Linked DNA regions of Oryzias latipes. The protein of the gene in region 1 binds, or shares a complex with, the protein of each later gene. Links are inferred from orthologs where the notes say so. Each region holds a gene or a part of one and is shown in the gene's direction. Other genes may lie near its edges.

The links.
Region 2: gtf2h4 (region 1) and polr2h share a complex: the UniProt entries of both Homo sapiens proteins name them as parts of the TBP-based Pol II pre-initiation complex. The link is inferred for Oryzias latipes from reciprocal best matches to the Homo sapiens genes GTF2H4 and POLR2H.

What each region holds. Positions count from the first base shown.
Region 1 is NC_019869.2:21,555,090-21,561,822, forward strand, and holds part of gtf2h4 (general transcription factor IIH subunit 4), read left to right. Parts: intron 1-1,135; coding exon 1,136-1,240; intron 1,241-2,990; coding exon 2,991-3,122; intron 3,123-3,237; coding exon 3,238-3,420; intron 3,421-4,079; coding exon 4,080-4,188; intron 4,189-4,943; coding exon 4,944-5,012; intron 5,013-5,091; coding exon 5,092-5,175; intron 5,176-5,275; coding exon 5,276-5,429; intron 5,430-5,802; coding exon 5,803-5,933; intron 5,934-6,733. UniProt on the Homo sapiens protein: Component of the general transcription and DNA repair factor IIH (TFIIH) core complex, which is involved in general and transcription-coupled nucleotide excision repair (NER) of damaged DNA and, when complexed to CAK, in RNA transcription by RNA polymerase II.
Region 2 is NC_019862.2:11,775,505-11,782,985, forward strand, and holds polr2h (DNA-directed RNA polymerases I, II, and III subunit RPABC3), read left to right. Parts: upstream 1-3,008; 5' UTR 3,009-3,159; intron 3,160-3,306; exon of another isoform or gene 3,307-3,497; intron 3,498-4,201; 5' UTR 4,202-4,222; coding exon 4,223-4,295; intron 4,296-4,673; coding exon 4,674-4,757; intron 4,758-5,026; coding exon 5,027-5,120; intron 5,121-5,222; coding exon 5,223-5,306; intron 5,307-5,459; coding exon 5,460-5,577; 3' UTR 5,578-6,072; downstream 6,073-7,481. Other genes in the region: lisH domain-containing protein ARMC9, read right to left, coding at 1-69, 401-571, 1,804-1,929, 2,069-2,143. UniProt on the Homo sapiens protein: DNA-dependent RNA polymerase catalyzes the transcription of DNA into RNA using the four ribonucleoside triphosphates as substrates.

The sequences.
Region 1 (6,733 bases):
GTACCAGCTCCATATCCAAAAGACGGCGTCTCTCTTGAGCACATTAAAATTCCTGCTGGAATGCATGATATTTCTAAACATTTCGGACTACCTCCTGTTTGCAGTTTGTAGCGCTATGCCTGATAAGGCTAGAAGATGCATAAAAAGAGAATAAAAGTTACCTACCACATCTGTATTTTATAAACATAAGTTTCAAATCCACCAAATGCCAAGATTGAACTTTACATTCTCATAAAAAAGCAATACCTAACCTCCTTGACATTTTACTTTTATTATAAAATTTTACATTATATATAATCAGGGCTCTAGATTACCACCTGCCCAGAAAACCAATTTGACTAACCACTTAAAAAGGTGAGGCATTGTTCTGCATCTCTGACAGGGTGGGTCAAAGTCACAACTATGACTTTTAAGTCTCTGCCTCACTCCACACTTAGCTTCAACAAACACCCATCTCAAATTGGTTCAAACATTTAATTCTGACTTTTTTTGCGCAGAGTTAAGTCACATGAGCCGCAACACAAATGACCATGACTAGAAATAAACATTAGAAATTTGGTGCTTTAAAGAAAGGAATGTGTTTATAAAAAGGTTCAGAGATCAGAAGTGTCTTTTGTTAAGATTCAGATTCAGATTCAGAGGGATTTTTATTGCCATGTCAGTGAACGGAACACAACAGTTTCACAGACTAGGAATTTGCTGCAGTGCCAATGTGTCACATACAACACTTAAGAATAATAATAAAATAAACAGTAATGAGCCAAAAACATAGACACAGTGATCAGAACAAGTAAAAAGAAATACAATAGTGCAACAGAGGTGCATTACATTTCGGTATATTATACAACCTGACATAAGAATACACTTTTAATTAGTGTTTTCAAGAGAAAATTATCATCAACTGAAACTTTATAAAAAATGGAATAAATGTGTTTCTTTCAAATACATAACTTATTTTTCCAGAGAAATGTTTGGCTAGTAGAAATCTAACTTGGCTGGTAGACTAGTTACTGGGGACCCCATCTAGTAACCAAAAAAGGTCATTTAGGGCCATGATATATAATAAAATTAAGGATAGTCTGAATATTTACCACAGGGTGATCTCATCTGCTTTGTGTTGGCCCTTTCTCTGCAGAGAGCTCCCCTTGCTGGCTAAGAACTATGTGATGCGGATGCTGTTTTTGGAGCAGCCCCTCCCTCAAGCAGCTGTCGCCCTGTGGGTGAGGAAGGATGGACAGAGGTGAGGCTCCCATGTTCTCCCTGATCTACAATTTTGAACGGTCAGGAGCACAAAAGCTGCTTTTAGGAAGCTGCTGTTGCAGCGCCTCCTGCTGGCGCTTTAAGTGCTCAGCAGCCATCACTGCTGTGGTTCAACGAGAGCAAACTGAGCAAACCGACAGAACCAGGGGGATATTCCAGGAAGCATGTTTAAACTAGCCAGACTTTAAGCCTGAACTCTGGCTGAAATCCGCCTAAACTTGCTTACTCTGGGTATGTCGGTTCCAAAAGACCGGATATGAGTAAGTGTAATTACGCTCGACTTGGTAACCCTGGGTTAATGCTCGTGCACAGGAGGTACATAAAGACATTCTCAATAGATGGCCGATTTCTGGAGTCACCATGGAAACGCGTGGAGAAAAAAAAAGCGGTACACTTGAGACGGAAGTGAGACGGAGTCTGAGATTTTAATGACGGCGGATAGAAATTATAAGTCCATCAAAAAAGTAACACGGCTGCATCAGCAAAAAAAAGAGTTTCTGCTTGGAGAAAAATAACAAAGTTTCTGATCTTGTTTCCATTTTCCTTGTGACGCATATTTATATATAATCTTAAATAAATTTCTTCTATTAGTAACAAATAAATTAGTTAAATGTATTCAACCTAATTTCTTGCGTCTATAAAACTCAATAATTGTTTATACAACTCAATTTTTACGTATTCATCTAGCTAAATATCACATTACTCCATTAATCTTTTTTCAATCTTAATTACTTATATTTCTTGAACTTTCATATGTCTAAGTTTGAGCCGGCAGATATGCTCATTTTTATAACAATAAAAAGGACGGAAAAAAATACACGGAGTGCAAAAGTCCAATAAAGAATTTTCCATCATTGTCATTACAAGCGTGAGTCGTAGGGGTGCTATATAAACTCATCATCCTCTCCCTCCCTCTCACTCATGGTGCAGAGACGTAAGCAGAGTAGGACAAAATAACTCGGCAAAACAGAGTAAAATAGTTAGACAACTAAACACATTCTGTCAAAAACCCACACTTAAACCCAAATCCGTCCAGACAGGCAAAGGGAATGATATCCCAGAATACCTTGCGGTGCTGATCTAACGGCAGCACCAAAGTTACACCTACTTAATTGAATTAATTTGAATGAAAGGAAAATAATTGTTTGAAAACTACGTGTTATTTTTATGGTGACCTAACAAAAAACGATTTATCTTAACTGAAGCAAATAATTAAGTTAGATCAAAGTAAAAATGTTTCTCTTTCCAACATCCATATGTGGTCTTATCATCCTCTCATGGTGGAAAAAGTATTATCTGAGCTTCTTCATCCACTAAATCATCTTCAAATGGACACGTCATGCTGCTTCACCTCTCTGTAAACAAACTAACCTTCAACTAAACCTGCTCCAGACCAGGTTATGTTCAGAGCATGAGTTGCCATGGCAACTTGACCTACCCTGAAACATACCTCCATTTCTGGAACCGAAAGCTGAGGTTATCAACTTCCTTAGCCTCAAACTTATCGTGGGAGCTAGCATAACCTGCTTTCTGGAATACCCCCCAGAGAAAACTCCTCTAGAGATAGACTTATTATTTATAACAAAGAAAGCCTGAAACTTCGGTGCTGTTTCAGGGTTTTTATTGAGCGTTTCTTGGTTTTCTCTTCTGCTGCTGCTTGTGCCGAGGCTGATTGTGTGCTAAAGCCTGGATCTGACGGTGCAGCTGCTAAGTTTGGCTTCTTTTTTCAGGGATCATGACGAATGTGTCTCGGTTCTGACGGGCCTCCGTTTGTGGCACAGTCAGCAGCTGCAGGGGGGTCTGCAGGGATACATCCTGAATCCAGTCTTCAAAGATAACCTGAGGATAGCTCTTCTGGGCGGGTGCGTTCCCCTCACCGCCCTCCACGCTGTCGGAATGAGATCAGCGTGGTCAACAAATCGGAAAGAAAAAATGAACGTTGGCACGTGTTGTGACTTTTTTGTGCATCGCCCACAGGGGTAAGGTATGGGCAGATGAGGGCATCATTCTGGGCCCTGACCGTCATGCCAGGGACATCGAGAGCCTCGACCGCTATGCCATGGAGCGCTGGGAGGTCATTCTGCAGTTCATGGTGGGTTCTCCCAGCGCCGTCAGCCAGGACTTGGCCCAGCTGTTGGTCCAGGCGGGCCTCATGAAAAGGTACAGAGTCGTTTCTTAGCCGCCTTCCCACCAGGGTCTTCCTCATCTAATACGCCACACTTTATAATGTGCTGCCATCGAATGCACATCTCCTCTGCAGCTGATGAGACGCACTGAAGCTGAATACATTTAGAAATGTCAATTTTAGACCAAATAACAAATTACTCAGAGAAGAAAACAAACCTAGATATTAAAAAACAAAAAGAGAAATAAACAGAAGAACCTCTCCAGTTCACCAAACCTGGTCAAAACCTTTAGGATTTAATTTCTTAAGGGTGTGGATTTTGGTGCTTTTGCAGAGAAGTCACTGATGTGTGTTCATGCCTTTATGTGGCTCTGATGTGACCATAAAAACAGAAAAATGCTATTGTTTTTGCAGGATTTTGGTTTTAGGGAGGAATTTGTGGAAAAATCAGCTTTGTATCTCCTCTTAGATATGTCAGTTGTGTCATGTCAGCATATTAGACCTGATTGTTGGCAGAGGCTGTGGTTTCTGCTAAATCTGGAGTTAAAAACGGGAAAAAGGTAATGAAAGTAAAGGAGATGGGATCACAGCAAAGACTGCATTCACTGACATACTGCAGAACAAGAGGAAGATTTACAGGAAACCTGTGTGTAGGTCTCATTTTTTACCTGCCTCATTTTCTCCTAATTGGCAGCGAGGCTGGGGAGGCACCATACATCACCTCAGCTGGGTTCCAGTTCCTGCTGCTGGACACCGCCTCTCAGCTGTGGTACCTCACCCTGCAGTACCTGAACACTGCTCAGGTACTTTGACTAGATAAGTAATGTTTTTGTAATGTAAATAATTGATTTTAAAAATCGACACCCCCCTACTCCCATACCTCCCTCCCCTAGAGCCCATGGAGGTAAACATTATACATCCGGCTGAGCACGGAAAGCCAAACTAAGTCAGTGGGTGGACATGCTAATAGTTGAAACCTCCTTCTCCTCTGAGAGTTGATGCACAGCCAGTGGAGTGCAGCATCCCAGGGGGGAAACCCAGTGTCCCCCACGAAAAGGTGGTGATCCAGGTAGATTTACAGCAGCCGACTCCAAGGGAGACGATCCAACTGTGGAAGCACTGCAAATAACAGTGATGGGGAAAAAAATAGATGAAAAACTAAATGCAGTACAGAAACAAACACTGAGGCAAAAGATGGAAAGTGCAGCTTTCTATCTAAAGCAGTTAAAATGAAGGGGAGAGGAGGAGGGAACTACATTCACCATTTAGGTCTGTAGGCACAGTTCCCATTTATAGTTTGTACATTTTTGGGTGGAAGTTCCCAATGTTGTGGTTGATCTTAGATTCAAGTGTGAAGGGAACAGAGCTGAAGTTAAATGTAACACAGTTTTAGATATTACGGCATAGAAGGCGTCTGTTTCACAGAAGAAGAACCAGATGCTTAAAAGGTCTGCCTCCTGTATTCTCTGGAGCTGTTTATGTGCAAAAATGATTGCAGTGAAACAAGTGTATTTTTTTTTAAGTTGGGACATGATGGCACTTGTTCTGTGTTTTTCAGTCTCGGGGAATGGAGCTTGTGGAGATTTTGTCCTTCTTGTTCCAGCTCAGCTTCTCCACGCTTGGCAGAGTGAGTGCAGCACAGTCGGCGCGTGGAGACATGAACGTTAGCAGCGTTACAGCCATGTGTCTTGTTGTGTGTTTGTCAGGATTACTCGGTGGAAGGCATGAGCGAGTCTCTACTCACGTTTTTGCAGCATCTGCGTGAGTTTGGACTGGTCTTCCAGAGGAAGGTAAGGCCACATAAAACCCCTACCACCCTCCTTTAGAAGAAATGCTCCTTTATTGGTAAAGTAGCAGTTCTGACATGACGGTTGGATTCTGTGTCGTCAGAGGAAGTCCCGGCGCTATTACCCCACCAGACTGGCCATCACACTGGCAGCTGGAGTCTCCAGCAACTCCCCCTCCAACATGACGAACACTCCCGGAACTGGAGACGCGGGGTTTATCGTTGTGGAAACCAATTATCGGATCTACGCGTACACAAGTACTTAAAACTGAATTGCTCTGTGCTGAATGAATAGGATGAGGATTAGGGGTAACCGATCTGAGGGGAAGGATGGTAGGAAACTAAAAACTTTGGGGAGGCAAAATCAACTAAGTAAAAGGTTTATTTTATTAATGCTACCAGAAATACATCCTTCCAATCAAAAATTAAGTATCTCAAATGGCAGCTCAAACATAGAGAAATTTTGTACAAATGATGTTGTCCTAAGTCAAAGTTGCAGAGAAGGCTCTTTAGCACACTTGTGACCATTAGTCTTTACGTGATCAGCTCAGCCCTGCGCTCATGCGGGCTTCCCGTCCTTTCTGTCGACTCGCGACCCTTAAGTTCTGACCCAATTCTGTTCCCCGCTCAGATTCCGAACTCCAAATTGCTCTGGTGGCCCTCTTCAGTGAGATGCTCTACCGCTTCCCCAACGTGGTCGTAGCTCATCTGACGAGGGAGTCGGTGCAGCAGGCGATCGCCAATGGCATCACAGCACAGCAGGTAACGGCGAGAAGCAGGGCGTAAAAACCTGCCGTCTACAGGTCTGAAAGCTAGTACTTGATTCAAACGGTTTGGACTGTGACTTAGTTTGACTTACTTCACATAACGCAGTGTTTTTCAACCTTTTCTGAGCCACGGCACACTTTAACCTTAAAAAAAATCCCGCGGCACACCAGCAACCAAAAAAAAAAAAAAAGAGAAACTCATAGGTCTGTATTGATCTACAGTCCCTCCACAATCTCACATGCATTTTTGAGAAAATTGTGTCAGAAATAGCTGGAAACTGCAGCTGTTTTTTTTCTAAAAAATGCAATAAAAGTTAAGTTAGAAGATTTAAAAACAGATTGATGTGTGTTCGTTGTTTCAAGACGTTTAACAACAAATCTCCTTGTGCGCTGTCAATCTCATGACCCAATGCATCATGGGAGATGTAGTGCATAAAACGGCTGGAGATCGGTTTTCGGAGCTTCATTGTTTTGTTCACTTGTTCCACGGTCTGATACCGGATTCTGTGCAAAGCTACACAGCTAAAGACGAGCTTTAGCTTGTATTTTAGTTAGAACTGAGCGACTTTACGAGCTAAATCGGGACAAGGAAGTGAAGACTTTAACCACTTCTGATTGGTCAGACTGATGACATGTGATTAAGCTCCCCAAGAATGATTGGTGGAGACAGTCAAAGGGACGGGACTTTTCCCAAATACAGCCGAAGGTGCAGCTGAATCGCGGTACTGTACCGTCATTCTTATCAAAATGTCTTTAATAAAATAAAATAAACGCAAAGAAAATGTATTTTACATC
Region 2 (7,481 bases), on another chromosome or scaffold:
CAACTCTGCTCCCCGAGTTTCAAGATATTGTTTGAAGTGGGAAATCCGCTCTTCAAATTCCGTACGGTCCTGGAGAGGAATGGAAGTTAGAAAAAAAATGAACCCAAATAAAAAATGGTGCCTTTAACCCTTGTGTTATCCTAGGCACTTATACTTTGGGAGTTGGGTCATCTAGACCCACTAGACAGTGCGCTGAACCTTTTTTCTTGAGAACACGTCAATGTGAGGGTGGGGTCATAGGATAGCACAAGGGTTCAACTCATAGCCATATAATTCCAGCTTTATTGAATAAAAAAAAGCAAAGCTTGTAGCACAACCTAGTGGACAGCATTAAAAACAACAAATCACAAGACTACTGTTTTCGTTTTTATGAGAACAAGGAACAATTAGATTCACGTACTTGTCTAACTGGATGGCTCCTCAGTGGGAAAATGGTGAAGTGGACATGAAGGTAGAACTCCAAGCCCTGGGTCTCAGCATCTAAATCTTTCACCTCAGAAGGAATATTCTCTTTCCACAGCTCAAAGAAAACTTTGTGGTCTCCATCGTCAAAAGAGCTAAGAAGGTCTTCCTTCAAGTCAGATTTAAAAAAACATAACAAACAAAAAAACTTGAAAAGAAAATCACTAACAAAAACATTCAACTGTTCTTATGAACATTTTATTAGTAAAATAATCTGCAATCTGGTCAAACATTTTTCTAATAGGCTAGACTAGAAGAAAAAAATGTAGAAATGCAATTTCTCCATATATGACTTGTATATGTGGAATCATTTTGTGTCTGCAAATATCTTGTTCGGGTTTGTTTGTTTATTTCAGGAATCCCCACAAGTCTTCTCCAGAGTAAAGATTATTCCTTCTGCGCTCTATTTTTTTAAATATACACTACTTACTGTTTTACACATAATTAGAACAATCACGATACTACACATATAGAAAACTTCAATCACTTTAACTAACATTCTAAAAGTATGCATGGTTTCAATGCTTTTTATACCTAGAATGGTCTGTAGCCTACACATATTATCTATAACTATCAGGGGGTTGACAATTCTTCTTTCTCTTTCGGCTTTTCGCATCAGGGGTAGCCACAGCGAACAAGTCGCATGGTAAACTTGGCAATGTTTTACGCCGGATGCCCTTCCTGATGCAACCTTCTCAAAGCAACCGGGCTTGGGACCGGCACAGAAGTAGAGAAGGGAACATCAACTTAATTGAATATTAGATTTACAATCCTAAGATTCAACCAAATCGATCTGTCTGAAGTAAGCCATTTATAGAAATAGGTCGACCTATACCGTTATAAAATCATTTCAAAATGAAACAAATCGATTATAATCAATATTGGAAAATACCGTTTCGATTGAGGTACGGTACGTTTATTTTACTATAATGTTAAAACTACCAAGTGCATCACAGCGGACAAAACACGTGATGGCAGCATAAAACTGATCAGTCCGTCATTACTTTGAATTTAGTAAAGACATGACCATACAGTGTGGCAGAATGTTCTGATAATGTTTAATTTGTATTTTTTTGTGGAAAAACAACAGTGGGTTGAACTTTATGAAACTAAAATGGGAATGGATTTGCCATTAACTCTTGTTTACCGGTACTTGTTTGTTTGCACACACATTTAATTTATACTTGATTATTTTGCAAGAGATACAAGGAATGTGGAAAACTTCACCTGCACTGATTAGAACCCAGGTATTTTTCTCTGAGTGGAATTGTTGTTAAAATGAATCCTTACACCCCTGATTACTATCAAGGACTAAGATATCTTATGAAACGTATAATTTACCTGAATGACACGAGTCTTTGAGTCTCTGAGAGCGTTTCCTCGAGGCTTGGAGACAAGTTTGCCTTTGCTTTTACATTCTTTGTCAAAAATTTGAACCGTTTCTTCAAATTCCCCAAACTTCAGGTACTAAAGAGAACAAACACAAAGTGTGTTAATTATACAATCACCATCGTGGAATACATTGAAATGTTAGATCAACTATCAGAATAAACAGATTATGGATTTTAATTGCAGTTTTTTTCTTCACATCCCTATCATGCTTTACCTCTTTAATCATCCCAAGGAGATCGGCTTCAGTTGCCAAGATGTCTCCCATCTTGGCTGTCTTAGTTGAACTCATCCGTGGACCACAGCTGTCAAAATACCGGCCGTCATTTGGGGCTCAGTTTGAAATTCCTTTGCACTTACAAAAAACAGGTAACAGTCTGAACAGACAGAATAGCACAGACAGGCAAAAAGAAAAAGAAAAAAATACTTCAATAATTTCACGTTTTAATGTAAAGATGACCAGTCTTGCTTATTCGAACAAGAGCAAATAATTACAACCTGTATTAACTTGTACGGTTTCAGTTTTCTTTCCGAATTATTATTTGTTTGTTCCAACCGAGGTTACTGTAGTTGTATTCAATTCAATTACATTGTATTTATAGCCCAATATTTACAGCAATAGTCATCTCAATGGGCTTCATTCCGGTAATTGTGTAATAAACATGAATCATAAAGAACATAAAGTCATAGAATTCAATAGCTGATTGCTAAACTAAACAGAAGAAACTAAGTGGACATCCCTGCCCTAAAACTAAGACCATCCTAATGTTACTACTATGATCAAAAAAAAATTATTTTCATCTTTGTATGCATTTTATAGCGGAAAACACGTTAACTATAACGGCAGAGATTTGAAGAGCTGCAAACTGCAGGAAGCTAGTCAATAATTGTTTCAGTCAGGTTTGTTCACATGATGAGCGTTCCTTACCTCGTTTGACCATCTTTTCTTGGTAAGAATCCGCATTAGAAGTTTCATTAAATATTTTATTTATGCTTAAAATGTATATTGGTAATTATTTTTTCGATATAATGACGCTTATGGTAAAAACAACAGCCTTAACATTAGCTAGCAACCGTCCACACAGAGGACGCTAAACGCACCTAGCAACAAGATGACGACAGACGGAAGTTAGTAAAAACTGTCGTAAAATTAGTTCAGTTGTTGGTTACTTAAATTATCAGTTAAATAATTGAGAGAAAACAAATACTTTTATAAAAATCTTTTTTTTATTTGCTACGTAAAATTTAGCCAAAATATTATTCGTTTTTTCCCCATCTTTGACCTATTGTGAGCCTTCAAATAAAACGGTAGGCAAATTTAATTGGTGTTATTTTAGTGATCATTTTTTCTACATTACACCATCGCAACGCATTTTTCCCTTTCTAAAAAATGTATAACATTCAGTAAAGCAAAACATGCGTCTTTCTTTTAAAAGAAAAAAAGAGACAAAAAAACGGAAGTTCTTGTTATGTCAAAGGTCGAACACGCTGGTTCTGCGCGGTACCGACTATTTCGCTTAATAATGAATGAAAATCTATCTAAATCAAATATCTGACGTCTAGGTTACATTATTATCGTTTTTACACGAATTCACCACATTCCAGGGCATACTATTTACACAAAAATACAAGAACAGCACTTGGGGGTAAGTATTATATTTTGTGTGGACAACATGATGCTACAGTTAGCGCGTAAGTGAACATTGTTAAAGTTGTCCAAAGTTGTGACAAGTTTTGTTCACCCACTTTGACACGGTGGGAGAGCTTTGTGATTTCCATTTGTTTTGACCTATTCCTTTTTCTTTTTAACTTGTTTTTAATTAATTATAGTCAAGATCGGGACCAGAACGCTTAGGAGTGACCAGGTTAGACAGGATAAGGAACGAGTACATCAGAGGGACGGCCCATGTTGCCTGTGTTAGCGACAAAGTCAGAGAAGCCAGAATGAGATGGTTTGGACATGTTCAGAGGAGGGATAGTGGATATATTGGTAGAACTAGAAGGATGTTGGAGATGGAGCTGCCTGGCAGGAGGCCAAGAGGACGGTCAAAGAGGAGATATATGGATGTCTTAACAGAGGACATGAAGTTGGCTAATGTTAGGGTAGAAGATGTTCATGATAGAGTGAGGTGGAAAAGGATGATTCGCTGTGGCGACCCCTGATGGGAAAAGCCGAAAGAGAAAGAAAGAAGAAAGAAGAGTCATAGGAATTTCACACTGAAACTGTGAAAAACACAATATAGCACTCACTGCTATAGTGTGTTTTTCTTGATTGACTTGGCTACGTAAAATGCTTTGCTGTGTGACTAACCTTCCCTTTTAATTTTGTTTTATGATGAATCTGTTTTAGGTTTAACAGAAAGGGATAAAGATGGCTGGGATTTTGTTTGAAGATATTTTTGATGTGAAAGACATTGATCCAGATGGCAAGAAATTTGACAGAGGTATGTGGACTGTCACTGTAAAAACACAAAAACGATCTTCACCAGTAGATAGTTTCAGTTGTAAAAGTCATAATTACAATTGTATATTGCATTTTTGTTCATATTGTGTTAAGTGTGACTAAAAAATTGTGTTGTCAGTAATTACAGCTTTTATTTTATTATTTTATTACAGCTAAACATTACAGTCATCACATTACTGAGTTGGGAAACCTTCAATCCTGCTTTTTAGTAGCTTTAAAACTAACACAATAACAAACATAATCATTATATGCATTTGCTTGAAAAAGATGGATATCTAAAAGCGCGTTAGTCAGTTTCATAATGTTTTCAGTTCTCTTTAATATAAACTAATACAGGTTATTATTACTTATACTGCAGTGTCTCGTCTGCATTGTGAAAGTGAATCTTTCAAGATGGACCTGATCTTGGATGTAAATACTCAGATTTATCCTGTTGATCTTGGTAAGAAATTAACAATGTCCTTTATTGTTTATGTCTTGTTTGATCTTAGACATTTGGCCTTTGTGGAGGAATTTTTAAATTGATTATTGGTAGTATTTAGTGAAACTGTCATTCTTCACTCTTGTAAGGTGTTGGTGCAGAATTGATAAGTTATTTTAACTCAGTTTTGACTCAATGTAAAACTATTGTATTAGAAGTGTAGCTTGATCTTAGGTGATTATGTACATTGCTATGATAAATCCAGATTTTTTTTTGCATGTTTCAAAAAGGGGACAAGTTCAGACTGGTGATTGCCAGTACATTATATGAAGATGGAACGCCAGATGATGGAGAGTACAATCCCCAGGATGATCGACCATCTAGGCAAGGCATTTAAAGAAGATAAATGAACATCCATGTCTTTCAATCTGTGGCAGATAATGTGTGATGCTTTTGATTCATCTTCCATTTTTAAATTGTTTCTAGGGCAGCTCAGTTTGACTATGTAATGTATGGAAAGGTCTACAAGATAGAAGGCGATGAGACCTCAACAGAAGCAGCCACGCGTCTGTAAGTTCTACACAAATGCATGTAGATCATTACAATCCTTTATTTAAGTTAAAAGTCAAGTGCTGTCAATTTAGTGATTAGTAAAAATTTAAATAAACTGTATGTATGTGTAAATGTTGATCAAGTCCTCTAATGATGTGCTTGTTCTTTCAGCTCAGCCTATGTGTCTTATGGAGGCCTTCTCATGAGGCTGCAGGGAGATGCCAACAATCTACACGGCTTTGAGGTAGACTCCAGAGTCTATCTCCTCATGAAGAAGCTGGCCTTTTAACCCCCCTCCTCTGTTTTCTACCGCCTTCATCCACCTTTGTAAAACTGGGATCTAGAAAAGTGGAACATATGAACATCTTAGAGACAAAACACCATGTTTTTGTAAACCTCTGTTGTATTTTTTATAGTTCCTCCAACAAACTACACTGAGGTCTGTGATTTCCACTTGGTGGTACACTGTAAATAAATATTTCTTTCTTTTATACAAAACAATTACAAGTGTTGATTAACTTCATTTTATAGCGATGAATACTCTTCAACAGTGTTGCAGAACGCAGCAAAATGAAACCTGGAGACAGAAAATTGAATTATAGGGAAATAAGCGGCTTTTGTGCGCCAAACAGGACACTTAAAGACTGTTATAACAAATGTCACAAGATGGGAATCACTCTGACTCACTGAATACTGGTATGTGCACACAAAGCTTTAAACACAAACAGAATGGATTCATGTTGTAAAATAAAGTTTTGCCCTTTGTGGTACTGACATGTATTTTAGCATAAAGTCTGGATTTGGGCTTTATGTAGTTATCCAGCTGATATGTGATCAGTTGCATCTCATGATATGTATGACTTGTCTAAAAATTTCAATGCTTTTGCTAGTAGAACAGTTTAAAATCTTCATCTCTTACTTCCATTTTAGTTTTGTCTGCCTTGTTTCAGCAATGACATTTTCAGCTGCATTCTGCTGCTTATGGTTCACTTCAGATTGCCTGAGCCAAAAATCTATTTTTTTTCTATTAGTACAGCTCATAAAAATTGACATGCCATCAGTGAAGACCTTAAATGCAAATAATGAGAAGTTTCCATTTTTCCAACCAGCCTGACCTTGAGTCAATTTCATGAAGGGTTTATTATATTTAATTGAAGACTATTTTATTGGATTAGTCATGCAGTAAGAACAACACGGGAATACATGCTCCATACAGACAAAACATAAATGACATTCCTTCATTTTGAAGTTTCTTTATTTTTCTAAAATAAATTATAATTCAAATGAGAATCTGGAAACCGGAGAGGATCCCACTTTTTGAAAAGTACCTTTTTACTCAGGCACTGAACAGAGGATGCAGTGGAATCTTGGATGATGAGGTTTATAGTTGTCACCAAACTTTGACTCATGTTTATTTTAATGTTTCATCCAGTTGAACAGTTGACTCCTGATGATCATGAAATGCTGTGAGGAGAGACAGCAGCTTCATTTTGCTAACCAACTCTTAGGGCAGCAGGAACACGATTGAGGTTTAAAAGGTTCTGATATTGCTTCTGCATTTTGATTTGGACTCAGATAAATGAGGAGTCATTGTAATACATTTTAACTTGATCTAATCTTTGCTTAAAAAAAATCCCTTTTGCTATTGAGGATTTGTTATTTTGTCTGGTTTTATAAATATCTGACAGAAAAATTGCTGTTACATATCCTTCATGGTAAAATCTGAAGTTTAGTTGACTTTTTTTTATCATGCAAGCTTAAATAAATGTGAAAACAGGGTAGTTCTATCATGATCCCTGACAGCATTTTGTTAGACTTTACTGCAGGTGGTTACATGACATCATAACAAATGGTTAGGCTCTAATCAACTTTTCCTTTTTTTTGTATCTGTTAAGGCATCTAATTAGTTTAAAAAAAATGTCGGTGACGAAATTGATCTAAATTGGGAACTGGCTCTGAAATCAGTGCAAAGCGCGCTCCCGAGACAAGACTACTCCTTTCCAGGAGTTCGTTCCTGCACAACACCGGAAAAGACGGTGGCCATGGAGGGGCATGTCGAATTGTTTTCTTACGAAAAAGCGTTGCTGGACTTTGATTGACCGTATGTGAAGGATCTTCGGGCTCCTCTTTGGTCTTAGAATCGCCCCAGGCATTGCTAAAATATCGTATTTAAATCGTGGAGGAAAATGCTGA